4 linked regions of the Saccharomyces cerevisiae S288C genome follow. Changing the gene in region 2 together with the main gene of any one other region gives a genetic interaction. Each region holds a gene or a part of one and is shown on either strand. Other genes may lie near its edges. The genes, in order: MMS22, RNH202, MUS81 and MMS4.

Region 1 (10,678 bases), on a different chromosome or scaffold from region 2:
TAGAATATTTTAAGACGTACTTAGTCGAAAACAACGTATGTAGAAACCATAATAGTTACACGTTGTCCAATTTCAATCATAGCAAAATGAGGATTATACCAAAAAAAAGTAATAATGAGTTCAGGATTATTGCCATCCCATGCAGAGGGGCAGACGAAGAAGAATTCACAATTTATAAGGAGAATCACAAAAATGCTATCCAGCCCACTCAAAAAATTTTAGAATACCTAAGAAACAAAAGGCCGACTAGTTTTACTAAAATATATTCTCCAACGCAAATAGCTGACCGTATCAAAGAATTTAAGCAGAGACTTTTAAAGAAATTTAATAATGTCTTACCAGAGCTTTATTTCATGAAATTTGATGTCAAATCTTGCTATGATTCCATACCAAGGATGGAATGTATGAGGATACTCAAGGATGCGCTAAAAAATGAAAATGGGTTTTTCGTTAGATCTCAATATTTCTTCAATACCAATACAGGTGTATTGAAGTTATTTAATGTTGTTAACGCTAGCAGAGTACCAAAACCTTATGAGCTATACATAGATAATGTGAGGACGGTTCATTTATCAAATCAGGATGTTATAAACGTTGTAGAGATGGAAATATTTAAAACAGCTTTGTGGGTTGAAGATAAGTGCTACATTAGAGAAGATGGTCTTTTTCAGGGCTCTAGTTTATCTGCTCCGATCGTTGATTTGGTGTATGACGATCTTCTGGAGTTTTATAGCGAGTTTAAAGCCAGTCCTAGCCAGGACACATTAATTTTAAAACTGGCTGACGATTTCCTTATAATATCAACAGACCAACAGCAAGTGATCAATATCAAAAAGCTTGCCATGGGCGGATTTCAAAAATATAATGCGAAAGCCAATAGAGACAAAATTTTAGCCGTAAGCTCCCAATCAGATGATGATACGGTTATTCAATTTTGTGCAATGCACATATTTGTTAAAGAATTGGAAGTTTGGAAACATTCAAGCACAATGAATAATTTCCATATCCGTTCGAAATCTAGTAAAGGGATATTTCGAAGTTTAATAGCGCTGTTTAACACTAGAATCTCTTATAAAACAATTGACACAAATTTAAATTCAACAAACACCGTTCTCATGCAAATTGATCATGTTGTAAAGAACATTTCGGAATGTTATAAATCTGCTTTTAAGGATCTATCAATTAATGTTACGCAAAATATGCAATTTCATTCGTTCTTACAACGCATCATTGAAATGACAGTCAGCGGTTGTCCAATTACGAAATGTGATCCTTTAATCGAGTATGAGGTACGATTCACCATATTGAATGGATTTTTGGAAAGCCTATCTTCAAACACATCAAAATTTAAAGATAATATCATTCTTTTGAGAAAGGAAATTCAACACTTGCAAGCATATATATATATATATATACATATAGTTAATTAGTACTAATAATACATGAAATACTGACAGCTTATGATGCTGATAAGGAAAATATTGCCGCAAACTTTGTAATAAGCCAAAAGCACTAATCTCTTTTCCGTTAGCTTTCATAAAATTAGTGTATTTAAGTAAACCCCGGCCCAAAATATGCTCTCAAATTTGCTTCATCCTTCTGCTTTCTTATCCTTTCTACTTCTTCAAAGCCTCCCGATTTTTTCAGGTTTGAATTACCCACAAAATTTTCCAGTTCATCATCAAATTCATTACTAGCTTTAAGTTTTCTTTCCATCTCCCACATCTTCTCAGCCTTGTCAATAGCTTCGACCCTACTATCGTGGTCAGGGTTTAAAGATTGGACGGCCACCATAACTTGCTCCCTTACCTGATTAAATGTGCCCGGTCTCATAATAGGCAAAATAGGATTACTTTTTGATCTCGAAGGGTTTTTTTCTTGTTCTTCACAACATAACTTAATAAGATCGAAAGTTTCTAATGCCTTACCCAAGTCTTCCTTCAAATCTAAAATCAACTCTTCCTGCAACGTGAGAAACTGTTGTTCTTCACAGACCTTATCGAGCTCAGCTTCCCAAGTTTTTTTCCAATGTGGTTTTTCAGTATCAATAAACTCCTGTAGTTTAAGTACATCTGCTTGGGCATTTTCTAAATCCTTGGATACGGTTTCTAGCTTCTTTTTAGCGGGCTGAGACCTACGCTCAGCAACGTCTTTCCTCATAATTTCGATTACATCTTGCAAATCATCTACTTTACTTAGCAGAGTATCGGATAAATCACCGAGTTCGGTCTGTGATTTTTCCATGTACATTCTGTTGGAAGAGTTTTTGGCAGAAAATGATAAAGACTTAAAGTTATCGACCTTTCGTAAAATGTTGAAAATAGTCTCATTAATATTTGACCTATTAATATTATGCACTTGTTTTATTTTCCCCAATTCGTACTGAATATCTTTGATCGTTTTATCATCATCTTTTTTGTTTTGCCCCACAAGATCGTGTTTGTTAGCTTCAAGGCCAGGTTGTGGTAAAACTTCCGTTTGCTTGCCGCTAATTGCAGAACCAAAACTCATTTCTTTTAAATGTCTTATTATATCATTCTGACTATTCGATATCTCCATCTTAACTGTGTCAATGAATTCCTTGATCGTATTATTTGGATTCTCTTCGAGCTTTAGCTCGATAACAAACCCTTCTTTAATATCGAGAAGATTTAGTTCCTCTAATTCATAGAATACTCCATATTGAGGATCCATAATATATATGTCTGGGAAGGAATTTGCTCCAGGAGAATACGCAAAGCGCTCAATAAATAGGAGCCTTAATGCGTTTTTTGTAGTAGGCAGTTGCACATGACACTTCTTTGTTTTGTCTCCTATCCTTAAAAATACTGGACAAGTTCCATTCATGGCTTTATCTGGCGAAGTTGTAACAACGCTTGATAATCTTCGTGGAGATGCACGAACATTCTCAATAGGCAATGGCGTTTTCGCCAATGGACTCGCCTTTGATACATCGTCAATGCTTTTACCCTTATTTTCAGCTGAATTAATGTTTCTATCATCATCATTGTTGTTATTTCCGTATAACTTTGACTTTCTTACGGTTTCCTCTAGATGCAACATCGAGGGTGAAGGAGTTGTCATGAGGCCGGCAGCCGCAGCAGCTTCTGTTGTAGACTGATTTGTCAATTTAGCCATATGGTAGGCAGAGTATCTCTTTGAGGCTCTCCTTTGTAAATTAGTTCCCTTCTTCAATTGTGAAAGTGCATCATCATCATCAGATGCGTTTGGAGCATTGTTAGATTTAAGGTTTTGTTTAATATTAGTTCTTGGTTTTGTCAATGTTGCCTCTGCTGACTGAGCAGAGGGTGTTCCCGTAGAAGTAGAATTCACTTTTTCCCCATAGCTGTTTTCGACTGAATCGCTTTGCCTCTGATCACGTACAATACTGCTTTTTCTGCTACTTAATGGAGTCCCCTCACGGGTCCCTTCACTACCCAATGAAAGGTTACTAGTAAAGGAAGGGTTTTGTTGATGATGTGATTTTACACTTATCCGATGCTCTTGCTGCATATTCTTCAAAATTGCTTGTTTAACCTTTAGTTTGTCTAAAAGTGTCACTATAATCTCTCTGATTTTTGGCAGATGTTTATTTAAAGTTTCATCAGATGGTGGTTCCCTCAATGTCACTTCCAATACACGTCTTAAAGCCATTGGCACATCACCAACATCTGACATGTCAACTTTCGCATGCATGAAGAATTTCGATACGACTTTGAAGTCATTGCCCAACTGAACGTATGCATCAGATACTAATCTTCCAGAGGTTGTCCCCTTAGACCATTGTGTTAAGACCTGGAGGAGGTGCTTGGTGGACATCAGCAACTTTGTTACTGTCGTTTCAATACTACTACTGCTAGAAGCAGTTCTTTTAATCTTTGGGGTGCCATACGTAGGGTCATCCACGGCCATCTTCATCTAATTTTAAAATAATACGAGGATTACTACACCAATTTGGCAGCCAGCTTCTACTCTTTTTCCCTTTTCTTGGGTTTGTTTTGATGCCATTATCTCAAGAATGCATAATAGTAGGATAAAATTCGTTCAGCTCGGCTAGCGAGATATCTTCAAAGAGTAAAGCGCATCTGCGTGTAAAATTAAATTCAAGAAGTGAAAGAATAAAAGATAGGATTGTAGATTTGAAGTTTAGTGGTAGCGTCAGCAGATAAGCTTATGGATGTTGATGAACCGAATCCTATTGTGATATCAGATTCTGAGGCCACTGATGAGGAAATTAGTATCATATACGAACCCGAATTCAATGAAAATTATTTATGGGCAGAGGAAAACGTCCAAGAAGCAAGCAGATCACAGAAAATTGTCACTGAGAGGTTGAGCCTGGATTCCACTGCTGGAGAATCTTGTACTCCTTCCGTAGTAACTGATACACAAGTTACTACGGGGCTTCGGTGGTCTTTGAGGAAGAGGAAGGCTATTCAAAAGATGCCATACAGTTTAGAACGCATAAAGCATAGGCAGTTGCTAGAGGGCTATGATATCTCTAGTTTTGACAGCATTTCGAATCAGTTGACCTTACCGAAGAACGCTTCTACAGTGATTCACTCAAATGATATTTTACTTACAAAGAGAACTGGTAAACCCTTAGATGAGCAGAAAGATGTTACAATCGACTCCATTAAACCCGAAAACAGCTCGGTTCAATCTCAAAGATATGATAGTGATGAAGAAATACCAAAGAAAAGGCATCGTACTTTTAAAGACCTCGACCAGGATATAGTATTTCAATCAGGTGATTCTACGGAAGATGAACAAGACTTGGCTAGTACAAATTTACAGAATACTCAAAATGACGAAGTAATATTTAGAGGAAGAGTATTGAATGTAAGAACTGGTTACCGTGGGGTCCTGCCAAGAGTTGCTTGGGAAAAGTCGTTGCAAAAGCAGCAGTCTTCAAAAGTCACGAAAAGAAAAACTCAATTATTGAACCATAAGGGTGTGGCTAAGAGGAAAATGAACAGAAGCGCCCATATTGAAGATGAAGAACAGAACTTATTGAACGATCTTATTGCACCTGATGACGAACTGGATATCGAGGAAAACGCCCCTCCAGATATATACTTAGGAAATCTTCCAGAGGATCGTGAGGCTAACGAAAAGGAATTAAAGGAATTGCAAGAATATTATGAGAGCAAGTATAGTGAAGACGCACAATCGGCTGGAACTTCTGGTTTTAATTTAAATGAGGAATACCGCAATGAACCAGTGTATGAGCTGGAATATGACGGACCGGGGAGCTGCATATCACATGTGTCTTATAAAGACCAGCCTATTATTTATTTGAATTCACGGCATTCAGATAGCGGATTTAGTGAGCAATACAATATATCTGCCGAAGATAATCAAAGTGTAATTTCCCTAGATGCTGCTGAAGAGCATAACGATGGTATAATTGACAAGATGTTGGTTAAACCTAAAAGAATTAAAGCAACCAATGATGCCAACTTTTTGAATACAAAAAGTAAGAGAGTGAGAAGATATAAGTACAAATATCGAAATTCTTGTCTGGCCCCAAGTACAAAAGCTATCAAAGTCGGAAAACGGTCAGCGCATAAATCTCATTTGGCAGCTAATAATCCAGTTTCATTTGTTTCTAAGAAGAATCATGTAATTGATGATTATTTTTTTGAAGAATTAGAATCTCAATCCCTAGAACAGGATGACAGCTCTTCTCTCAAGCCACAGAAAAAAAGAAGGAAGAAGAAAGCACCTATATACTCAAGTTTCTCCGCTGATCTTGAATCGAGACGAAAACCAGTTTTCAATACTGTTGTAGAGGTTCCCACGAACCGATACGCTTTCACAAAGCCAAATGTACGTAATAGGGACAGCATTAATCATGACATGGAATTTGAGGAAGAAGACTCCAATCAAGAGCTTGGACCAATAATGGTCGTACTTGACTCAATTTTACTAAAAAAACCTTTTGAGCCACCTAATTTCTTCAAGATCCAGTTGTCAGACAAGAGTTTCTTGCTATCAAAATTGAATCCTGCAGATATAGCTACATCATTACAGAAAATATTCAGAGTAATCATTGATAAAGGTATCACTGATACTGAACTAGTTCACTTTAACGAAAGCCTTATTGCTTTTTTGGTGCACCTTGACATGCCTGAACTATTCGACTTAATAGGTGAATTTCATCGTGAATTTAGATCGAAGGTCAATAGCTTGAGGAAAAAAGCTAAACCAATCCATTTTTTTCAAATTGCGGCATGCCAATTAATGTTTCTAGAAATATCAAGATATAACAAAATTTCAGCCGCTGCAAAATTCGACATGGATGTCAAACTCTTAGATCATATTGTGTCTTTCTTCAAATTACTTTCTGTCTGTTATGATTCTGTTATGAAAAATCCAATGCAATATCTGTACACAAGTTATTATATTCTCTCTGCTGTCGTTGATGTCATACATAAAAAGGAAGCTTTGTGGGATTTATTTCAAAAGCACCCCTTTTCGCCTCATATTTCACTGTTGCTGGTCAACATATTTCCTACGAAAGTCTGCCGCTGGCAGGTTTTGAGATTAGATTCTGAATTCCAACCCTTGAGTTCGGCATTTCGGTTCATCAATTATTGCATTGAGACTTGTAATTGGAATGTTACAAATTCTTTGATTCTTTCTCTCGATCGCATATTCAAACGGAGAAGATTTTCGGACTTTGAAGAAGAGTCTGATTTGTCACAAAACAATAAGATAATTTATCCTCCAACGAATCAGCTTACGAGTCGATTAATGTTTAACAGATATTTGCATCTACTGACGTTGTGTGAATTGTCTAGTTCTGATACACAACGTGTGATACCGATGGGTGATATTTCTATGAATGATTCTCTATCTGTTTTGAAGAACCGCCTCAACCTACTAATTGTTCTAGCTACACGTTTTGATTTAAACTTAGAGAAGCGCTTCCAAGAGCTAACACGACCGTTATATAGTAAGGAATATTTAAACTTGCATACACAGAACACAGTCAGGACGATAACAACATTGATCATGCAGGCCAGCCTTTCATTCCTGGAAATCAGTCGAATCAAAAATCATCCATTCAGTGGAAAATTTATTGCGTCATTATTTGATAAACTAGTACTTCAACAACCTTCCATATCGGGAGTAACAGAAAATTTTTTGAAAGAATTCACAAATTTAGTCTCCAAAATGAAAAGAAAAAGCGTGAGTATGCTCAAATTTCTGTATCCTTCACTGGTGGCCATGTCTCAAGAAAATATATTCGAGTCGTCTTTTTTTTTATTATTACAGGTATATTTGAAGAGCTTAGATGTGCTGGGTCCAACTTGGGTGCAAAATTATCTTTTTCAGTTTATAAAGAGCAAGGCTCAAGAAAATGAAAGATGGATAGAATGCTATTGTCAGATCGGAAAATTCCTCGTAGATTCTGGTATATTTACCTGGTGGACTTTCTTTACCTATAACGGCTTAGATGCTGCATTACACTTTCAGCTTGCATTTCACTCCCTTATTATCGATTTCTGTGATACAGACTCTTTTGAATTACTGAAAAAACCGCTTTATTCCATTGCTTCTGATTTGCTGCTCATTTCCAAAGATGACGCTTTCTATCACTTTCTTTCCAATCTGTTGAAGAGGGCACATATCATAGTAGCAGATTTGAAACCTGTTTCCGATGAGAATGAACTCCTGCGATTGGCTTATATTTTTTCTAAAGCATTGAAAAAAAATGCATATCAAGATCTATTAGCTGTTTTCTTATCCCTGGCGAAAAAACATTACGATGAAGGGGACATCAGTAGAAATTTCTTGGCAAAATATCTCGAATTTCTTAACAAAAATTGCTTGACTGAGCTAAGAAATAATCAACTCTTCATCAGTCTAAGAAGGGAACTTGGTATTTCAAGTGATGAAGACGAAAAATGTGCGTTCTGGGACTCATTCAATGAAGCAGGTGATATACTTTCCAAAGCTGCATTTGTTGAAACCGGTATTGTTCAAGCCTGTTGCACTGGGAATGAAATTGATGGATATCTTGACAATTTAAGCACTTTATTCACCTCCACCATGTTAGAGAGCCCTTTTGCATTTTTTTCTGACCTGGTGATAGCACACATATTTGAGAACAGACCTTTTTTCGACGTGAATATCAAGAATTTTCTTCTATCTCACTTCATAGACCTTTTCAACAAGGTTTTAAAAATGAAATTCGAGCAGGTATCTCCTGATGAATTTGCTGAACTTTGCAAAGTATACAGGGCGTTATGTATTGAGTGCGCAACAGACGACACCTTTAATAGTAATAGTGATTTGATCGCCGCAAAAGATGCGTTTTTGGTATCTGTGTTGAGAATCGCAGATGGGTTTTGGGAGCATGACAAACTTTTGCAGCTAAGGATGCTTGATAGTAATATGAACATACCTAATCAGATTCCTCATACTACTTTGCAAAGTTCGCTATCTGCGATTGTAATAAAGATAATAGAAAGTAATATAGGAAAAATTGAGGCGTCTGAACCTTTCAAAACCTTCAAGAATACGTAAATTATACACATGTAATATAAGCATATTTAAAAATTCTCCGTAATATATGTCATATATGTCAAATTGCGAATTAGTCCAAATAGAAACAAGATCTATCAGTGTTGGTGATAAACATTTTGTATTCTTTTGGTAACGTGTATCTCAAAGAAGTGCATGACTTTTTTTACGTTCTCTTTAGTCTTGATTTAGTTGCTTCTGCGTTTGTTAAATTTTTTGTCCTTCCCGTTTGATTAATAATACTTATAATAATACAATTCTGTAACAAGAAAAGCAAAGTTACTACATTCTCATTGTGGTTTCTAAGTCATCTAATCTTCTCCTGCCCCTTCTAGATAATCTATCAGTTTCTCTTTTCAATCTTCTTAAGTTTCTTTCTTTTTCAATTTCTCTCTTTTGTATTTCTTCTTTTGTTAATATTTCCACCCTTGGGCACCAATTGGAGCCCAGTTCATCAATATCCAGCCTTATACCAGATAAGTACCCAAATGCGGCATCGTTTGGGACATGGTCCTGAATCAAGTGGCCATCTACCCAGTCCTTCTTTATCTTCAAGATAGTTTCATGAAGCGATTGAGATATTAAGGGGATGAACTCTCTTGTTAAGCCAAGGTCCTGTACAATGGATGTAGCAAATCTTTCTGGAGTAAGTGATTTGTCGTTCAAGTTCCACTGGAAGTTATCTTCAAAAAATCTGTCTTGTAAGTTGCAGGTTAGGTTGATTATCACGTGGAGGTCAGACATTATCTCAGTGGCTGCAATATTTTCGAGGTCTTTCAACTGCTCTTTTATTATATTCGCAATTTGAGTTTGTAAGGTAGCGGAAGTCATATCAAGATCTTTACAGTATATAGAGGCAAATTCCTCCGGAGATATGGAGTCGTCATTGTAGTTCCAGAGAAACTGGTCTTTTATGGTATGACCCATATGTTCTATATCCAAAGTAATTGGTATCATGATTGCCTCTCCAGAATTGGCGTTTGCCTTCGTTTCTTGATCAGTGTTGAGTCTATATGGAGACACCACTTTTCCGTTAATGAAAGTATCTCTTATTTTAGGGTATCTCAATATGTTGAAGGGGTTGTGGTGTTGGTCTTGCAGATCCGGTAGAACGGCGTTTCCAATATCCTGTGCCTGCGCTTTGTTGCTCGGACCATTGCTGGCGTTGTTATTGCTATTCAAACCGGATAAAGATTCCACAACCATGTTTGAACCCGCATCGTATTTGTTGTTAGAGATAATACTATCAGCTCCATTCATGTTCTCTAGGACATTGTATTCGGAACCGTCCATGGTAACACCATTTGTAAGTGCCGGAGTATTTTCATGAGACACTGCATTATCTTTATAGTGTGTATCAGCATTGTTGAAATTAGAACCGTTCATATTGAATTCATCAAAGAGATCGTTGTCATATTCCGCATAGTTGACCACTTTAGCCCTTTTATGCTGCCTTGTTTGTTGAGCCATTGTAAAGATGGGGATACCATCATCTTCGTTTGTCAATCTGTTATGAAAGTTAGAAATATAAGCTTGTGGAATAAGCTGGTTTTGGTGCGACATTGTGTGCTGCTATGTGCCTTTCTTCTTTCTTTTTTCAATGTACTTCATTCAATAATCTCTATTTGTCGTATTTTCTAAGTTTTTTTTTTTTGTCAAAGTAGTCGCGGCGACTTTAAATGAGCAGATCATCATTTAGTAGACAAAAAGACACGGGACATCTTCTATCTATATAGTTTACATACTTTATTATGTGAAAGAGTCTTTCGAAATTGCAACAATGCTCGATAAATCTATGGGTCATGTGCTCTATAATTCCTGTACATTAGCATCGGGTGCGTGTAATTTTTGGGGTGATATGGCATTCTCCATCAACTTTTCCTTTTATTTAGCATCTTCTGTAAGTCAGATGCTACTTTTGCACTGCCGTGGGTCTCCTTGTGGCATATAAAGCATTTGGTGCCCTTTTTCATATCTTTGGCAAAACACGATCCACAAAAATAATGGCCACAGTTTGTGACCACTGGAGACTTGTAATCTTCCTTACAAAGAGTGCACTTGAACGGTATCTTTTCCAAGTCTAGAGTAACCGCTTTGGAGTCCTCTTTATCCGCATTCCATTCTTGGTTCAGCTTCCAGCCAG
Region 2 (7,290 bases):
CCGGAGGAGCATTCACAAAGTTCTCTCTTCTCGAAGAAGTCGTGGATTGAGAGCTACTCATTGATAGTGGCAAACTTTGAAAAGAAGCATTATCACTGCCACTCATCGTGTTTTCCGGAATGGCCTGTAGGGAGCTTGCAAACCCATGATTACTGTTAGTCGATTCTAATGGACGTCGTTGTAAAACTTGGTTTTTCGAAGTTGCTGGTGGTGGTGAAACAAACATTCCTTTGAGTGTGTGTACTCTATGCGTTCGAATAAAATTCTCTTTGTATTGCTGCTTGTGGTTTCGCTATTGAGAACTTTCAATATACGTTAAAAAATACTTGGAGTGAAATGAACAAATCTTTTTGTATGTTTCCTTAAGTTATTAAAAAACTCCATGCTGTTTTTTAATAAAAAAAGAAGCAGTTACAGGCGCATTACAAAGTTTGAGAAGAAAGGAAAAATGTCATTTGGTTATATAAATTTTTTTTCTTAATGGAGATTGAGGCAGCAATAAAATGTGGGATGAAAAAAAAAAAAAAAGGCACTTGAATAAGGGGTAGAATGGCAGATATTCCATGTCTACGGTAGTTTCACTGGAGAAATGGACTCGTATTTTCTCTCACGATGAATTTTTCCACAAAATTATAAGATGAGGAAATGTGTGGGGCAGTCATCCTAACAAAACTCGCACGGACTCCATTTCCCCGGACCTTTTTCCCGCTTGTTCTAGGGAATAATTTCGGAATAATTTTAGGGACTTCATAGTATGACTGGGTTTCAAGGAACGGAAAAACTGGTTAGTACCGCGTTATTCTGCCATTTGCTGATCGTTTTAGTGGAGGAGCGGAGGAGGGGGCGGGGTGATAACTTTTTTTCCGCTTTACAATAGAGAAAAGTCCAAGTAAGTCTCGGCGTGAGATGGCCTTGATGTTATTAGTACCGGCGGCTCCCTAATAGTTTACTAATACGCATACCTTATGTCATATTTTTCCATCAAATATTGATCAGTAGAAAACCTTGGCAATGTACATAGAGCTACACTTTTTTGGATATGGAGTATTAGAGAAAACTGGGTTTGGTGGGCGAAGAGAGATGTTCCCTACCTCCTCAAGAGTCTTCAACTATGAATTTCACACCATATCCTTATCTAAACGAACTATGGGGTGGTCAGCTAACGCAAGTATTGAATTCTTTCTCTTAAAGTACCCCTAAGTTGAAGAATTCATTTTAATCTTCCTTGCTTTGTCCCCCCCCCCTAGAAGCATAGTTTTGTCTTAACGCTGTAACGGTCTTGTATGCTTATTTTGGTGGTAGGGATCGGTTTGCACCTTGGAAATGCTATGTTTACTTTATTAAAAAAATAATTAGTTTTCCTCCAAAACGTAAACAAATATAAGTTTGAGAGACAAAGAAAAGAATGAAAGAGTCTTATATATATATAAGTTAGCTGGTAGCATAACCATTTTTCTCGACTTATTTATAAAACATTCGACATACTTCCATATTTCAAGCATTAATATGAGACCTAGAATTTTTTCAAGCTAACTTATGTACATTGTAGTTATATGATGAGGAAAAATGTACACAACAGCTTGTGCTGTTTATTCCCATCGTATGTTGCGGTAATGCAAACAGCAATAGAAAAAAAATTGATATAAGAAGAATATGACTAGTAGCATCACAGTGAAACAGTAACGGTAAATGAATCAGCATGTGAATTTTTCTAGAAAATAAAAAAGAAACTCCGAAGCGGGGAGTCGAACCCCGGTCTCCACGGTGAGAACGTGATGTGATAGCCGTTACACTACATCGGATTGTACCTTGGTGATAGTTTGACCTAAAAGAAACGTTCATTATGTAATGAAGAAAGCCAATTATTCGGTCGCAAATCAAGGTTCTGTTAGGGAATATGATTTTCTTTGACTCTCAATGAGTTCTCTTATGACTATTTAGGGGCTAAATTATTTGTTATGGCAATATTATTAGGTAGGAAAGATACGACTTTACTGAAATTGTTGGAAATACAAAAAGGAGCAGATCATTCCACATAATGATATCATTATTCCCTCTTTCATTTAAAAAATCACCGTTTTTATTTTATTAATTATCAGTCTCTGCATTTTCAGATTCTGTTAAATTTGATAAATGTTTTTCGCCGTTTATAAAGTATTTTTGCATCATGTATGATAATGTATTAGTAATATGAAAACTGGTGTTATTAATAATCAGTGGTCAGGATGTAGTATTAGTTTGGAATAAAAGCAAATCTCCTCATGCTATATAAGAGGAATATAGAAAATACAGGCCAGTTGTTCTTATTAAACATGAACATAATAGTGGGTCTAGCAGTTACTATACATTTAAATTGGCGACTACTATTATTCGTACATTCGACTATAGCAGTATTTCCAATTAATGGATCTTTAACTCAGCTATTATACTGTTTGAGTTCCTCGTTTAACATTTCCCTGTCCAACAGGGACTTAAAAGTATGTAGGGTTTGCATTAATATACAGTAGAGACACTTAAATTGTTACTATAGTAACTCAAGTTACTATTCGTGAGAATATTGACTTATTATTCTTCATGAATAGTCGATTAGTAATCAAATGAAGTAATCAGATGTGCAATGCGTCTTTAATGTTTCAGACTGGAGAATGATACGTAGCTACATAATAATCTGGGTACAGTAAACTCAATGATCTATTACCTGAATGATTAATCTGATGCTTGCAATATAACAATTCATCTCGTGACATTAACCATAAGAATTACTCTCATCATTGCTATATCGGCAAGGTTTAATATGTCCAGTCGGAGTGTATTTTATATCTCTTTCTTTTAGAATAAGAATATCTGCTTTTATTCTTAATCAATACTACAACCTAACTACTAACTATCAACACTGTTAATTACGATTCGCTCCAACAAATTTGGTTTTGTGGATTCTTAAATTCTCGAGAAAAACTTCTAATATATCTTGTATACCAGATACTGTAGCCTTTAGCAACGATAGAATACGAACAGTTCTCTTAAAATTCGCCTATTTCTCATACCGTTGCAGATATAACTAAAGTATTGACATTCAGTGACATCTGGCGCTGATATCATTATTTAACACACGTATGTTTGCGTGGCATTGTCATTTTTAAGAGCAGAGAAAGAAACAATGAGCTACTTGAGTGTGACAAGTTGAAAAGTCCACCAATTTCACGTTGAATTAGGATTCATATATGAAATTCTAGTCATTAATTAGAATTGTAAGTTTCTGAGCTTTTTTTTCCTAGTAAATTAAACTTGTCTAATACATCCAGTTGTGATGTATTCTATATCTCAGTTCTACAGTAGCACGAAGTTTCCCGGCCTCTCTATTCAATAAATTCAGCTATCGCTGATTATCAACAGCAGCAACGAATAAAGCATAAAAGAACAGAAAAATTCTTCTACAAATTTATTCTGTAAAGATTCAGCTTCTTTCGTGAATTTCTAAGTTCATGAGGGGAATTTAAGTATGGCGTTTCTTCGTAGCGCCATTGTCTTGAGCCAAAATGGAACTCTAAAAATTTTCACGACATTTTACTAGTCAGTAAAGTGAGCATATACATATAAGAAGAAATTTCAAAAGGTAAAAAATGGAGCAACTTCCAGCTCATTATCTTTTCAATGTTGTCGATGCCATAGTTGGATTATGAAATCTCATATTCATAACCACAACGCGTTTTTTTCCTTTTAAGGCACTACAGACTCCATTCTCACAAGTTTGTCAAAAGCACGAGCGCGATGAGAATTAAAGTCAGATCTGGTTAATGATTCTGGTACAACAGCAGAAACAAATCGAGTACAAATTTAATCTTATTCTGTCGCAATAGTTGACTTTCTTTTCTGGCCTCTCGAACAAAAAGCATGACCGTTTCCAACATTGGGGGGGAAGAACGACTAATAATTTTACCAGACGATTATGAAACTTCGAAAACTATAAACACTTTTACACTGCCGCCACCTTCCAATATTACATCCAAACCTCGTATCGAGCTCTTCGAAAATATTAATGGAAAACTTTACGAAATAAGATCTTTTCAATTCGGCAAAGGGCCCTCGTATTCACATGAGGAAGATTTGGCAAATGATAAATATCACTATACTAAGGAAAATCACCCGATCAAATCAACTTTCATTGTAAATACGTCTGATCCCACCGATGGTTATGTTTTTAACTCAAGCAAAATACACTTTTGTTCTTTATACGATATTGCTTTTAGTTTGATTGGATTTTACTATAGAAACAGTGTTTCAGCAGATGAACAAGATTACTCCAATTCAAGTGATACTGGTGAAAACCAAAAAAGCAACAGCAAAACCAATGAGAAATTTCTTACGGTGCGTGATTACCATGATTTCTTAACGGATAACCATGACAAGAATTGGGAAAACATTTCTTTAAGTCGTCTCAAGAGTGGCTTAGCAAAAGTTAGTGAAACCATTGAGGAAGCTGGTGACGTCTATTACAAGATCACATCTGCAATGATAACACAATTTTTGTTAGGCAAGGTATCAAAAATTGTAGAAAACTTTCCTCCAAGTATCCCTACACTTAAAAATGCCCCAACGGAAATAAAACAGTGCTACAAGGTAGTTATGGCTACAAATCTTTTAGTTTCCCTGATTCCAAGGGCGGCCTACCATAATTTACTTACCTTTTCACCTACAATGGATAGTGGTTGCCTAAATCCGGATATAAAAGCTAGCTTCATAGAACTCGAAAACTACGAGACTACGAACGAATTACAGAATGCTGAAAGAGAATTACTGATGAAAAGTGCCATGAATGTAGGCCTAAATTCGAATGGCAGGGTTTCATTGCCAGTGAAAAAAGTTACCAAAAAAATAGTTCAAAATAAAAAACCAAAAGTAGCCATAGGAAAAGGGGCCATTGATGGATTTTTTAAACGTAAGTAGCTAGTATCATAATTAAACAGCAATTTGAATGCTATAACTCGGTGGTGATGACCTCAGTGCGAGATAATTACACAATATTGTCACTACCAACGAATGGGCTACCTTTTTTTTCCTTTCTCGAATTCAAGAAAAAATTAACAACTTTTCCCTCGATGATGTTAACAAATGTCTGAATATAAAGGAATAGGAAACGGTTGCTAGATTGTATTTACCTTACCAACTTTCAAGTTTTTTTTCTAACTTCCTAACTTTCAGTCTCGATACATTAATCAACAGGACGTAGTGATTGCAAAATTGTTCAGAATATACATTAGATTAAAAGACAAATGGCCAAAGACATTGAGATATCCGCATCCGAGTCAAAATTTATCTTAGAAGCACTGAGACAGAATTATAGGTTGGACGGCCGCTCCTTTGATCAATTTCGTGACGTGGAAATAACGTTTGGTAAAGAATTTGGTGATGTTAGCGTAAAAATGGGCAACACCAAAGTTCACTGCAGGATTAGTTGTCAAATAGCACAACCATACGAAGACAGGCCATTTGAAGGATTATTTGTAATATCTACAGAAATATCTCCTATGGCTGGTTCTCAATTTGAAAATGGAAATATCACGGGGGAAGATGAAGTTTTATGTTCAAGAATAATTGAAAAATCTGTTAGGCGGTCGGGCGCATTGGACGTGGAAGGACTATGTATCGTTGCTGGCAGTAAATGCTGGGCTGTGAGAGCTGATGTACATTTCCTGGATTGTGATGGTGGATTTATTGACGCTTCGTGTATTGCCGTCATGGCAGGATTGATGCATTTTAAGAAACCAGATATAACTGTCCATGGCGAGCAGATCATTGTTCATCCTGTTAATGAAAGAGAGCCAGTTCCACTAGGTATACTGCATATTCCAATATGTGTAACTTTTTCTTTCTTCAATCCTCAAGACACCGAGGAAAACATAAAAGGTGAGACTAACTCAGAAATTTCCATCATTGATGCAACATTGAAAGAGGAACTACTGCGAGATGGTGTATTGACGGTTACGCTAAACAAAAACCGTGAAGTGGTACAAGTTTCCAAAGCGGGTGGTTTACCAATGGATGCGTTGACGCTAATGAAATGTTGTCACGAGGCTTACAGCATTATTGAGAAAATAACTGATCAAATACTGCAGCTTTTAAAGGAGGATTCAGAAAAGAGAAACAAGTATGCAGCCATGCTTACATCTGAAAATGCCCGCGAGATCTAATATTAACGAAAAAACTGAAATAAAAGCAACGCTTATACATATACATGCATGCATTAATATATGTATATATATCGGTACGTATAGATTGTAAAATTACACTTACTACTAAAGGCAGTATGAAAGACGCCCGCAGTTTTTTTCCTACTGTTTTCTTGACTGCGGTGTTCAAAAACATAAAAATCATTAAATTACTATAAAACAAACGCATACTGCGAAGAAAAAAGGCTCGGCTATAAATGCATATGAGAAAATATTATCTTTTGCCTCCCTGCTTAATTTCTGAAGGCATGTACTATCCAAAAGAAAAATCTTGAAAGAAAACAAATCCCATTATTCTTATTATTAAAACAAAAACTTCGTCATCGTCATCACATAAAAAAGACCTACCATTGTCAAACTGTACAACAGCAACACAATAATAATGACGATGATGAGTTCCTCGAGAAACCCTAGAACGGCGTTATAACACTGTTTGAGGGTATTACTTTTTCCACTACTCTCGTGGCGCGGAAGACCTGCTTCCAAATCTACTGTGTAATCAATACACTTAACCTCCTCTCTCTCCCCTTGTGCGTCAGAAAACTCTGCCTGTCTTATTTCCTTCTCCTGTTGTCCTATTTTCAGTACATCATCGATGCACCTCGAGGTATCTTCCATCTTGGTGTCAGGTTGAAAAACAATTGCTGTCGTTTTTTTTTAGTTCAACAAGTTTGGTATGGCAGTTGACAAAAATTCTATTTGGGCTGCAATGAATCAAAGTGTACAAACATCTGGTGAAATCGTTCAAGTTTTATACTGAATAGAAAACAAAAGATAAGGTTCTGCGCATCGCAAATAATAAATTACTAGCGCGCCATACAAGAGACGAGTCTATTTTTTTCCGCCAGACGACACAAAAAAGAACCCGTGCAAATATTATATCCCACCTCCCACGTGTCAGCGAAGCTCGGAACTGCGTAACATTATAGGGCAGAACATCCAAATGGAAAAAGTAATAACACTATTTGCGATGTTAGTGGCCATCCTGCGTCGTTCGGATAGGTTAGGACGGGCTGATGAATATACGGGTGTAATAAAAATGACACCACGTTATCAGGGTTTT
Region 3 (8,176 bases), 230 kb from region 2:
AACTGTATTGCTATCAAGAACTGTGATCCAAAGGCTGATTTGATGTTGTACGTCTCCAAGATGGTGCCAACCTCTGATAAGGGTAGATTCTACGCCTTCGGTAGAGTTTTTGCCGGTACTGTTAAGTCCGGTCAAAAGGTCAGAATCCAAGGTCCAAACTACGTTCCAGGTAAGAAGGACGATTTGTTCATCAAGGCCATTCAAAGAGTTGTTTTGATGATGGGTAGATTTGTCGAACCAATCGATGACTGTCCAGCCGGTAACATTATCGGTTTAGTCGGTATCGATCAATTCTTGTTGAAGACTGGTACTTTGACCACCAGTGAAACTGCTCACAACATGAAGGTCATGAAATTCTCTGTCTCTCCAGTTGTGCAAGTCGCTGTCGAAGTCAAGAACGCTAACGACTTACCAAAATTGGTCGAAGGTTTGAAGAGATTGTCCAAGTCTGATCCATGTGTCTTGACCTATATGTCTGAATCCGGTGAACATATCGTTGCTGGTACCGGTGAATTGCATTTGGAAATTTGTTTGCAAGATTTGGAACACGACCACGCTGGTGTTCCATTGAAGATCTCCCCACCAGTTGTCGCTTACAGAGAAACTGTTGAAAGTGAATCTTCTCAAACTGCTTTGTCCAAGTCTCCAAACAAGCATAACAGAATCTACTTGAAGGCTGAACCAATTGACGAAGAAGTCTCTTTGGCTATTGAAAACGGTATCATCAACCCAAGAGATGATTTCAAGGCCAGAGCTAGAATCATGGCTGACGACTACGGTTGGGATGTCACCGATGCCAGAAAGATCTGGTGTTTCGGTCCAGACGGTAACGGTCCAAACTTGGTTATTGACCAAACTAAGGCTGTCCAATACTTGCACGAAATCAAGGATTCCGTTGTTGCTGCTTTCCAATGGGCTACCAAGGAAGGTCCAATTTTCGGTGAAGAAATGAGATCTGTCAGAGTTAACATTTTGGATGTTACTTTACATGCCGATGCTATCCACAGAGGTGGTGGTCAAATCATCCCAACCATGAGAAGAGCTACTTACGCTGGTTTCTTGTTGGCTGATCCAAAGATCCAAGAACCAGTTTTCTTGGTCGAAATTCAATGTCCAGAACAAGCCGTCGGTGGTATCTACTCCGTCTTAAACAAGAAGAGAGGTCAAGTCGTTTCTGAAGAACAAAGACCAGGTACTCCATTGTTTACCGTCAAGGCCTACTTGCCAGTTAACGAATCTTTCGGTTTCACTGGTGAATTGAGACAAGCTACTGGTGGTCAAGCTTTCCCACAAATGGTTTTCGACCATTGGTCCACTTTAGGTTCTGACCCATTGGACCCAACCTCTAAGGCTGGTGAAATTGTTCTTGCTGCTCGTAAGAGACACGGTATGAAGGAAGAAGTTCCAGGCTGGCAAGAATATTACGACAAATTGTAAGAATGGTTAAACAATTTTTAATTATTTAACTTTTTCAGTTTTTGTCGTAATGTATTGGGCACCTTTTATGTCCTTTTGACTTTTTTGTAGTTTATTCTCACGTATACTTACCATCTATAGTGTTATTTCATATTTAATCATATTTCCATATTAGATATCTGCCTTCCCCTGTATAATAGTTACTATGATTTATCTTGCTTTGCCTATTCGCGTCATCAACTTCTTTTCTTACCGATCGCGGTAATGCCCTTTAAGAGTGGCATCAACATTGGCGTAAACAAAGTTTCAAAGGATTGATACGAACACACATTCCTAGCATGAAAGCATGGAACTCTCATCAAACTTAAAAGACCTATATATTGAATGGTTACAAGAATTAGTTGACGGATTAACCCCTAAACAAGAACAACTCAAAATAGCCTATGAAAAAGCAAAAAGGAATTTACAAAATGCTGAAGGTTCATTTTATTATCCTACAGATCTAAAGAAAGTTAAGGGAATTGGCAATACAATAATAAAGAGATTAGATACGAAATTACGGAACTATTGCAAAATTCACCACATATCTCCCGTTGAGGCTCCTTCCTTAACTCAGACAAGTAGCACCAGACCACCAAAGAGGACTACTACAGCTTTGCGTAGCATAGTAAACTCATGCGAAAATGATAAGAATGAAGCTCCCGAAGAGAAGGGAACTAAAAAGAGAAAAACTAGGAAGTATATACCCAAAAAAAGATCTGGAGGCTACGCTATCCTTCTTTCCTTACTCGAGCTTAATGCCATTCCTCGAGGCGTTAGTAAAGAGCAAATCATCGAGGTTGCAGGAAAATACAGTGACCATTGTATGACTCCAAATTTCTCCACAAAAGAATTCTACGGTGCTTGGTCGTCTATTGCTGCACTTAAAAAACATTCGTTGGTTCTTGAGGAAGGTAGACCAAAACGGTATTCGCTAACAGAGGAAGGTGTAGAACTAACAAAGAGCTTAAAGACGGCAGACGGAATCTCTTTTCCAAAAGAAAATGAAGAACCTAACGAGTATTCCGTAACCAGGAATGAAAGTAGTGAATTCACAGCAAATCTGACTGACCTCCGTGGTGAATATGGTAAGGAAGAAGAGCCCTGCGATATAAATAACACTTCATTCATGCTGGATATAACTTTTCAAGATTTGAGCACGCCGCAAAGGCTGCAGAACAATGTATTTAAAAATGATAGACTGAATAGCCAAACTAATATATCTTCTCATAAATTGGAAGAGGTCTCTGATGATCAAACAGTACCTGATTCCGCATTAAAGGCTAAAAGCACAATAAAGAGGAGAAGGTACAACGGAGTAAGTTACGAATTGTGGTGTAGTGGTGATTTCGAAGTTTTCCCAATTATTGATCACAGAGAAATAAAGTCACAATCTGATCGTGAGTTTTTTTCAAGGGCATTTGAAAGAAAAGGTATGAAGTCAGAGATAAGGCAACTCGCTTTGGGTGATATTATATGGGTTGCCAAGAATAAAAATACCGGGTTGCAGTGTGTGCTCAACACCATAGTTGAAAGAAAAAGGCTAGACGATTTAGCTTTAAGTATAAGGGATAACAGGTTTATGGAGCAAAAAAATAGGTTAGAGAAATCTGGCTGTGAACACAAATACTATCTCATTGAGGAGACTATGAGTGGCAACATTGGAAATATGAATGAGGCCCTAAAGACCGCGCTTTGGGTCATTTTAGTGTATTACAAATTCTCCATGATAAGAACTTGCAATTCGGATGAAACTGTGGAAAAGATACATGCGTTGCATACTGTAATTTCTCATCACTATTCTCAAAAAGATCTCATAGTTATATTTCCAAGTGACCTTAAAAGCAAGGACGATTATAAAAAGGTGCTTCTACAGTTTCGTCGAGAATTCGAACGAAAAGGCGGTATTGAATGCTGTCATAATCTTGAATGCTTTCAAGAACTAATGGGAAAAGGCGATCTAAAGACGGTTGGTGAGCTAACTATACATGTTTTAATGCTTGTTAAAGGTATATCTTTAGAAAAAGCAGTAGCCATCCAAGAAATATTTCCTACCCTGAATAAAATACTAATGGCATATAAAACGTGCTCCTCGGAAGAAGAGGCTAAATTGTTGATGTTTAATGTACTGGGAGATGCACCTGGTGCGAAGAAAATTACTAAATCTCTTTCAGAAAAGATATATGATGCTTTTGGTAAACTTTAGCAATTTGAAATATAGTCATCCCTGCAAGGTTTTATAAAGAAAAAAGTGATGATATTCTTTTAACTAATATATACATATATAAGAAAAGAAGCCTTAATTTCTCACGGACAAATATACCAGAAGCATATCTGAAAGCCGCCCCAATGCATTATGATGCCACTTGACAACTCATCAATGGTAGGTACGAAAGACATAATGAACATCAATTCCATTATCAAAAACCCTTCCAACCTCTTCCAGTGACAAACCTTTGACTTCTGGATACCAAAAATATACGAAAAACCAGGCACAAACTGTGAAAAAAGCAAAAATGAGCATTGTATTTTCATCACCAATGGTGTTAATAGTGCTCAGATATGTCATTGAAACAAATGCATTGGTCAACCAATTTGTGCAGGCTATACATGATGCCCCAAATGATCTCCTGTTCAAGGGGAGAAATTCCACACAGGTCCATGGAACGCTGCCCATCGCAGAAGCATATGCTGCAACATAAATTACAACAGAAATTAAAAGTAAATTGACTTGGTCATGACCGAAACCTACACTGCAAAGAAGTAACCCAACAGTCATAATCAAAATTGTTCTCAAAAGAATGGCTCTTCTTCCCAAAGAGTCCATGGTGTACATGGCGAAAAAAGTGAATATGAAGTTCGTTGAGGCAATCAAAATTGGAGGCAGTAGAGGGTTTTTTATATTAAATTTGGAAAATATTATTGCCGCATAGTACATAAAAGCATTAAAGCCAGTGATTTGCTGGAAAAACATTAACATGCAACCTACTATTAACGCTCTTATTGTGCGTGGCTCCATTCTGTGTCTTTTCTTTTTGTTAGATGCCAGGGCACCGTTTGGAGCTGGGCCTCGCAACGCCGATAGATATGCTGATGAGGAGGACATTGTGTTGCTAGTTCTTTCTGTGTTCGAGGAAAGTCTTTTAATGTTAGGTGGGCTAAGAGTTCCTGAGGTTGAACTATCCATGTATCGAATAACCGATTGGGACTGTACTAGTAAAGGTTCACTTGCATCTTCGTATAGTCGTAACTTATCGAGTTCAATTATCAGCTGCTTAATTTTACTATTCACATGATATGTAGATGCAGTAGGATATAGCATTCTTAGAGAATCCCTGGTATATAGAATGTCTCCCTTGGAAATGGACCATCGTGGCGATTCAGGGATAAAATCCAGTATTGAAAGGAACAGAATAGCTGGAATAGCAGAAAGTGCGAACAAATATCTCCATGAATTATCAATCTCTTTCATAAGGGACGCAATCACATAGGAAACCAATTGACCTCCAGTGATGGCAATAATGTTCAATGTCAACATAAAACCCCTGATTCTGGAAGGTGAAATTTCACTCAGAAATAGAGGGACGCACTGGGCAGACACTCCAACAGCGATCCCAACCAGCAATCTCCCACAAATCAAAAACGTCAATGTTCTTGCTATAGCCATTCCAATTGCAGCTAGGATAAAAATTGAACAGCAGATTGCGAGAGTAATTCTTCTTCCATACCTATCTGCTAAAGGAAATGCCAGAATAGAGCCAAAAAATGATCCGACGCTTGTACTGGAAGTTATCAGCTCCTTCTGAACATCCGTTAAAACTACCAAAGATAGATCTTCGGGCTTTAAAGAAAGCAGAACACCTGATATAACACCAGTATCATAGCCGAATAAAAGCCCACCAATGGTAGCACCAACGAAGATTAACGACGTTTTGAACGTTAAAGCATATGGGAGTTGCTCGATGTCATTGGCAGTATTGGATGTTACCTGGGAGATAATGGAATACAGATCAGAATAAACGTCTTCACTTTCATCTGTAGACATACCTCTATCAAGTTTTGACTTTCCTGTCGCTTGCCTGTACGCTTTTGTTTTCTACTGAGAAAAGATACTTTTTGACCATGGACTATAAGTGCACGCTACAGTTGCACATATAAGGTTGTATATAGTTCAAGAAGTTCCTTTCGTATGGAAATTTTGTTATGTATACCTTCCAGTTGCTATGGTAGTCTACCTGACTAAATTATCAATCCGACCGATGTTCGGATGTTGCGATAATATTGGTACCGGAAAAAAAAAAGGAGAGGGCTTTGTAGTGTCGATGTTTAACAACCTGTTTTAAGGAATAAAGTAAAGTGAGGCTCACCTGGTCATTTAACACCAAGAATCAAGGAGCCAATAAGTGCACATGAGTTTTAAAGGGTTTACCAAGGCTGTTAGTAGGGCTCCTCAGTCCTTCCGTCAAAAGTTCAAGATGGGTGAGCAGACAGAGGATCCTGTTTACGAGGATGCAGAACGTCGTTTTCAAGAATTGGAGCAGGAGACAAAAAAATTAAGTGAGGAATCGAAGAGATACTCGACTGCGGTGAATGGAATGCTGACACACCAAATTGGATTTGCCAAATCCATGGAGGAAATTTTCAAACCTATCAGTGGTAAAATGAGTGACCCTAACGCTACCATACCAGAGGACAACCCACAAGGTATTGAAGCAAGTGAACAGTATAGGGCAATTGTCGCAGAATTACAGGAAACATTGAAACCGGATCTGGCTTTGGTGGAAGAAAAAATTGTTACGCCATGCCAGGAACTGTTGAAGATTATTACTTATATTCGTAAAATGGCCACCAAGAGAAATCACAAAAAATTAGATTTAGATAGACATCTAAACACTTATAACAAGCATGAAAAGAAGAAGGAACCAACCGCCAAAGACGAAGAAAGATTGTATAAAGCACAAGCTCAAGTGGAAGTGGCTCAACAAGAATATGATTACTATAACGACTTGCTAAAGACTCAATTACCAATACTGTTCAGTTTGGAAGCTGAATTTGTGAAACCATTATTTGTCTCATTTTATTTCATGCAATTGAACATTTTTTACACTTTGTATAATAGACTTCAAGACATGAAGATTCCATATTTTGATTTGAACAGTGACATTGTAGAGTCGTACATTGCCAAGAAAGGCAATGTGGAAGAACAAACGGACGCCTTGACTATTACACACTTTAAACTCGGTTACTCTAAGGCAAAATTGGAGATGACCAGAAGGAAGTATGGTGTAGCAACCGCCGAAGGCTCACCCGTCAGTGGCGCATCAAGCGGTGTCGGATATGGTGCTGGGTATGATCCAGCAACTGCCACTTCTCCAACCCCTACAGGATACGGTTATGGTGCCGCAGCACCAAGTTACGCCGCTCAACCTGCTGCCCAGTATGGTACTGCTGCCGCCGTTGGTACTGCTGCTGCTGTTGGTACTGCTGCTGGTGCTGCTGCTGGCGCTGTTCCGGGTACTTATCCACAGTATGCTGCTGCGCAATCTCCACCGCTCACTGGGCTAGGCTTCCAACAATCACCACAGCAGCAACAGGGACCACCACCGGCCTACTCTAATCCTCTAACATCACCTGTTGCGGGCACACCAGCCGCGGCCGTAGCGGCAGCTCCTGGCGTTGAAACTGTTACCGCATTGTATGACTACCAAGCTCAAGCTGCTGGTGATTTGTCTTTCCCTGCCGGCGCAGTTATAGAAATTGTCCAGCGTACTCCGGACGTGAACGAATGGTGGACAGGAAGATACAATGGCCAGCAAGGTGTGTTTCCTGGGAACTACGTGCAACTCAACAAGAACTAGAGGAGGCCCCTGCATCCCTCTGTATTCATTACCTTCTATTGTGAGATGTTACCATTACCTTTTTCTTTTATTGTAATGTTTCTTAATTTAAATACTATATAGGGTAATTCATCCTTCCACCAACAAAGTATCGTTTGAGTCTATCTATTACGGGCATGCGGCGAGCATATTACCCTACTGACAATATCCCAAAAGGGAAGGAGCGCGTTCCCAATAGGGCTGCCACCTTCCCAATATGGTACAAAGCCTACCATATGGGGAAATCAGTTTTCTCGCTCACCTCGCCTAGTCTTCCTAAAACGACGTTCCTCAGTCTCCTTTCTCTTTTATAAAACACCATCTCTGTCTTGTCGATGACACAGCCCAGTTGGGAAACCGGTGCTGACAAACAGGAAAAAAGCAAGACTAGTGGCCTGGCGCGGAAGAAACTGAGCTACATTGCACAACATCTTCAAGCAGGGTGTACGCATTCATTACTTTAATACTAAATTTAGAAGAAATCATCCTTTTTACTCGCGAAACTGTTAGGCTTGATCGGACGATCTCAGAAGAGGAAAAACAAATTGATAAAGTCTTCGTTAGGTTTCCTAGAATAGCAGGCCCGTTACAAAAAATTTTTTTACCCATTCCACTGGTTTTATTCACTAGTGACTTGAAAACTCCACATATTTTTGATCTCTTAAGCTTTCACGCATCACAAAGTTATCAGAACAAATTTTCTCCAGAAAGTTATATTGCAGTGTTCAAAAAGCCGTTCTCATTTCACAGCAATTTTTTTCTAAAGTAGAGGGGCAGAGAAATTAGCCTTCACAAGTTTGCTTTCGAGCTTCCAATTTGATTCCTGCTTTGGTCTTACTTTCATC
Region 4 (5,205 bases), on a different chromosome or scaffold from region 2:
AGGCATCTCGCGCTGACAGAAATTTGCTTATAAACCAGCGATTGGCTATATCTAAAAGAGCACTCATCGTCAGTCAGAAAGCCATTACCTTTCAACGAAAGAGTAAAATAGAAAAAAAAACACATACATAACTATGGAAAAGCTATTACAGTGGTCTATTGCGAATTCTCAAGGGGACAAAGAAGCTATGGCTAGGGCCGGCCAACCTGATCCTAAATTGCTACAGCAGTTATTCGGTGGTGGTGGTCCTGACGATCCAACCTTAATGAAAGAATCCATGGCTGTTATTATGAATCCGGAGGTTGACTTAGAAACAAAACTCGTTGCATTTGACAACTTTGAAATGTTGATTGAGAACTTAGATAATGCTAATAATATCGAAAATTTAAAACTGTGGGAGCCATTGTTGGATGTTCTTGTTCAGACGAAGGATGAAGAACTACGTGCTGCTGCTTTATCCATTATTGGAACGGCTGTGCAAAACAACTTGGATTCGCAAAATAATTTCATGAAATACGACAATGGTCTGCGAAGCCTTATCGAAATAGCTAGTGACAAGACAAAGCCACTCGACGTGAGAACAAAAGCTTTTTACGCACTATCTAATCTAATAAGAAACCACAAAGATATCTCAGAAAAGTTTTTCAAATTAAATGGGCTCGACTGCATAGCACCTGTATTAAGTGATAACACCGCCAAACCAAAACTGAAAATGAGAGCCATTGCCTTATTGACCGCATATTTGTCATCTGTTAAGATTGATGAAAATATAATCAGTGTGCTGAGAAAGGATGGAGTAATTGAAAGTACGATTGAGTGCTTGTCTGACGAGAGTAACTTGAACATCATAGATAGAGTTCTGTCTTTTCTCTCTCACCTGATATCTTCCGGAATAAAATTTAATGAACAGGAATTGCACAAATTGAACGAAGGTTACAAACATATCGAGCCTCTAAAGGACAGACTTAATGAAGACGATTATTTAGCCGTAAAGTATGTATTATGATTACGTCCGTAGAAATAAAATGATATTACATTCACCATTTCATATTATCTTTAACCGGAATCTCGAACATTTATTATTAACACTGTTTTATTTTATTACGAATATTTATCAATAGTACTTTCTGTAAAATGGAATTCATTAAAAAGGTAAGGAGGGGGAAATAGAGCTGCAGTGATTTTCAAAACGACTGCCTTAAGGTATGTTCTTATATACAAAGTTTCGTTCGATCATCATTCAATAGTATCATTTGGATCAGTACAAGTAAACAGTTTGTACAATCTTTTTTCTACTGCCTCAGTCATCAAGTATTTACCTTCGTTGTCTGATTGCAGTCTTCCCTTTTCAATATCTTCAAGTAATGATTGAAAACTGGGGTATAGGCTCACGACATTATTCGCCTTCATTTCAGGCATTCTCCCTATCTGATGAAAGGTTTTCTTTAGCGTTTCTGTACTATCCTGAGCGGATTTTACATTCAAATGAGCATATTTCATATACCGAATTGCGGGATCCATGCGCTGTTTTCCAATTAATGACACTAGGTTCGGCAGAGAATTAATAAACTCCATATGTGAATTTACAGTATGTATTTTGACATGCCATTCTCTATCAATGAAGCGCAATCGTTGCTCTAAATCAAATTTTTTTATCCCTAATTTTCCAACTTGGCTTGATTTTTTACTTCTCGGTCTTAAAGCTTCTTCTGTTCCTGACAATCGTTGTTCTACCCTAGCTTTGTACTTTTCATTTTCTAATTGGAAAATAGCTCTTTTGAGTTTATTTATATCGCTTAGTATAAGAATCACATGTTTTCCATTCTTTGAGAAAAATCGTATCTTCCTATATAATTCTTTCTTTTGTGAAGTGTATTGTTCAAAAAATTCTTGCGCATCATAATATAGAATCAAAACGTTTTCTTCAACTATTTTGGGATCACAGGGGTAATAGAAATCGTTACTAAAGTCGTAAATACTGTCACATTTTCGAAGAAATCTTAAAAGCGGCATAGAATCGTTATAGCTTGATTGCACAACTGCTGGTGCCAATTGTTGTTGCAGATCACTGTCTCCTTTTTTAAATAACTGGAGAAGGCTAGGCGAAAACTCTATAATCATTTGAGAGCGTGCTTTTATATTATCTCGATATATCTGGTTAACTCGCTTAAAAGCATTTTTGTTTTCTTTTAACAAGTGTCGTATTTTGTTTTTTGAGTCTTCTCTAGTATAGTATTGCCCATAGGCAATATAATTCTCTAGTTGTGATACCTCTCTGGCAGTATTTTTAGTACATTTGGGATCCTCAGCCGTTAATGTTTTCGAGCGTTTTGCTTCCTGAAAACAATTAGCGTTGCTAAAGATTGGTTGACTACCTGTCCTTACTATGTTAGACCCCTTTGCAGGGGTTGAAAGTACATCAGTAGTAATACTATCTGAGGAATCGAGAAATTTAGAAAGATTTAGTTCTACTGTATCAGGTAGTTTGGTGCTGTTGATTAGTGTTCTTGATAACGCTATGGTTCTCTTCTTTCCTTTCGGAAGGTGTTCTTGCTCGTCTTCACCTTTATTGTATACCCTTTTTGCCATGGATGTCCCATCTTCACCATGATTTTGTTTTCCTGCTGGTTTCAGGCTATTATCTGGTGAAGAATTTTCATTAGCAATCGAATTGTGCTTTTCTTCAGTTGGGTTCTCATGTTTTACTGGAGACAGTGGAAAATCGAACAGTATATCAGCTGCTCCTATCTGTGATTTCGGACTATCACTAATGTCACTATTGGTTTTTCCGATTCCTTGTGTCTTATATTCGCAGTCAACAGCAATAGGCTCTGGATTTTTTAAAGACTGTACTCCCCATTTCTCTGCGATGTCCCTCAAATTGTATTGTGATTTGTTGTGCTTCTTTCCACTCGACTCAAGATCAGCTGACCATTCATCACTTATTAGATCATCCAAAAGTTTTTTCGCGTTTCCTTTTGCATTATTCTCATTTCTGAGAGACGAATCTATGATGGAATTTACTGTTGTAGAAAAGTCATCTAGCTTGCTTATACTGATATCTTGGAAGAACGGCGCAGAAAGTTCGATAGATTTGTTTAGGTCAACATTCTCAACATCATTCGAAACAGATTTTCTTTGCGGTGATGATGGAATCATCTCTGCAGAGCTTACATGTGCCCTTTTGCACTCATCTTGATCCATTGATTCCGAGAGAGCGATAATTTCAACATTTGAGGGTCCATCGATGATCTGAATACTGGCATCGTTTCTTGAATCTTTGTCCTCAACAAAATCAACGATCTGGCTCATTTAACTAGCTGCAATATGTGACTACTATTATTCTATACCATAATCCATACATTGTTCTTTATTTACGTATACAACCATTTTTTTCGTGAAAAGGGTACTTCAACGCGTTGCAAGCCCTTTCCTAAATGATCGAAAATGTTTAAGGTGAATACAAATTTATACGCATTTAGAATAAAGAAGCTGAATAAAATAAAAAAAATTATTGGAAGATTCCAATAAGCCCTGAGTTATCACAAGCAACCAGCAAAGGTGTCTCATCAACTTCACATGTAGATATAGAATTTATAATATCATGATGATATAGAGAATCATCTACTGAATGAGTGCTAGTACGTTTCATTTTTCTCAATAACATTGTGAGATTTGCCGTAACTTGTGTAGGAATAAAAACGTCACTGAATCTTGAAGGACTTATTACTGCTTTAGAAGAAGAAAGCTCATTTAGGCTAAACATAACAATGGAACTTGTTGCTTCATCGGTAAGAAGAATTTTATCATTAGATACTGAGATAGTGCTTAGTGCGTTTAAAGACCTGATTCCACAAAAATTTAATTCTTCTAAGCCTTTCTCAATTGGTAAAAAGTGCTCCATAGATGGCTGTTCATCAGAATTTATGAAAGCATACTGACAATGCCCCTTAACAAAATTCCATATTGTTAGAAATGTTTTTGAACTACCTCCTACAACAATTACAGAATTCTTTCCATAAAACTGACAAACCTCCACATGCGTGATTGGTGCGTGGTCCCCAAAGGACCAACTCCTTATCAGCACGTTGAAACGGATATCCCATATATCAATAATACCTCTAGTCGTCCCCAAAATTAGGACACAACACTCTTCATCGATACAGATGCTTGAAACGGCACCATGCCTTGGAGAATTCTCTATAATTTGTAACCTCTCCAGGGTTCTAATATCAAATATAATAACCCTTGACAAATTCGTCAATGCTACTAGTAGAGATTTTTCCTCATTCACAAATGCTCTCATTCTCACTGCGTATTCATTTTTACCAAAATTCTTCAAGTTAATTTTCCTGATGCATTCGCAATTCAAAAATTTGACTTCACTTTCTTGTTGGTAATGATTAACCTTTAATACAATTATTTGTCCATCTTTACTGGAAACGGCAAACGCGTCAAAGTTAGGAATCATGGTTATCTGAGTTACGGTAGAGGAGCAGTCATAAGTTAAAGAAGAAGAGTAAACCTCGCCCACGATAATCTCTTTCAGGTTCCAAATCTTGATTACACCTTGATCTGAACCTGTTATTAAATAGGGTGTTTCTCCTGGAGAAACAGCAGAAGACGTAATAGAATTGGGTTCGTTTTCCATCAAAGTAGCTATCAACTTGCCCCTCAAATTACCCATGTTTGGACTCCGTACAATCTCTTGAATAGGCCCAAACTCCTTATAATCTCTCAGAGGAGGTAAAATTTTGAAAGTCGATAGGAATTTTTCTATGCTTTCAACGTCGCCTTCATAGCTGTTGCTGACGACTACCTTCCTTTCTGGTTTAACATTTGCATTATCTTTCAAGCCATGATTTGGAGAATGCATGTGATAGGACGTTGGTTCTAACTGAACAAAAACGTTCTTCAAATTAGAAGTAGTAGTGGCAATGGACTTATTTTTGAATATTAGTGATCCATTTATGTCCATGACGGTAGATAGCTGTTTGCTACCGTTAATATTTAGCTTATTGCTATCTTTCTCACTTTCATCATATTTATATATCTGTTGGTTCTCTAAGTTAGAATCTTGTCCCTCACTTGTCGACTCTTCAGCAAACTCTACATCAAAGAAAATGTTTCTTGGCATAATATTCGTAAGGTTTAGGTTAGGTGGTGAGTTCTGTACTAATGGACGGTAATTACTATTATTATATG

Evidence for each region.
Region 1: mutations in RNH202 (region 2) and MMS22 together harm fitness more than expected from each alone (negative genetic interaction), as found in Saccharomyces cerevisiae (3 studies listed by BioGRID, with this or other methods).
Region 3: mutations in RNH202 (region 2) and MUS81 are lethal when combined (synthetic lethality), as found in Saccharomyces cerevisiae (3 studies listed by BioGRID, with this or other methods).
Region 4: mutations in RNH202 (region 2) and MMS4 together harm fitness more than expected from each alone (negative genetic interaction), as found in Saccharomyces cerevisiae (4 studies listed by BioGRID, with this or other methods).

The regions. Positions count from the first base shown.
Region 1 is NC_001144.5:767,767-778,444, forward strand, and holds MMS22 (Mms22p), read left to right. Parts: upstream 1-4,173; coding exon 4,174-8,538; downstream 8,539-10,678. Other genes in the region: EST2 (telomerase reverse transcriptase), read left to right, coding at 1-1,430; BUD6 (formin-mediated actin nucleation enhancer), read right to left, coding at 1,552-3,918; SFH1 (Sfh1p), read right to left, coding at 8,818-10,098; U2-type spliceosomal complex subunit CWC24, read right to left, coding at 10,407-10,678. UniProt on the Saccharomyces cerevisiae protein: Substrate targeting component of a cullin-RING-based E3 ubiquitin-protein ligase complex RTT101(MMS1-MMS22).
Region 2 is NC_001136.10:1,015,477-1,022,766, forward strand, and holds RNH202 (Rnh202p), read left to right. Parts: upstream 1-3,891; coding exon 3,892-4,944; downstream 4,945-7,290. Other genes in the region: MTH1 (Mth1p), read right to left, coding at 1-226; exosome non-catalytic core subunit RRP45, read left to right, coding at 5,271-6,188; PHM6 (Phm6p), read right to left, coding at 6,531-6,845. UniProt on the Saccharomyces cerevisiae protein: Non catalytic subunit of RNase H2, an endonuclease that specifically degrades the RNA of RNA:DNA hybrids. Participates in DNA replication, possibly by mediating the removal of lagging-strand Okazaki fragment RNA primers during DNA replication.
Region 3 is NC_001136.10:1,244,322-1,252,497, forward strand, and holds MUS81 (Mus81p), read left to right. Parts: upstream 1-1,762; coding exon 1,763-3,661; downstream 3,662-8,176. Other genes in the region: EFT2 (elongation factor 2), read left to right, coding at 1-1,437; CIN10 (Cin10p), read right to left, coding at 3,833-5,500; RVS167 (amphiphysin), read left to right, coding at 5,865-7,313.
Region 4 is NC_001134.8:439,622-444,826, reverse strand, and holds MMS4 (Mms4p), read right to left. Parts: upstream 3,313-5,205; coding exon 1,237-3,312; downstream 1-1,236. Other genes in the region: Hsp70 nucleotide exchange factor FES1, read left to right, coding at 134-1,006; ubiquitin-binding serine/threonine protein kinase VPS15, read right to left, coding at 3,512-5,205. UniProt on the Saccharomyces cerevisiae protein: Interacts with MUS81 to form a DNA structure-specific endonuclease with substrate preference for branched DNA structures with a 5'-end at the branch nick.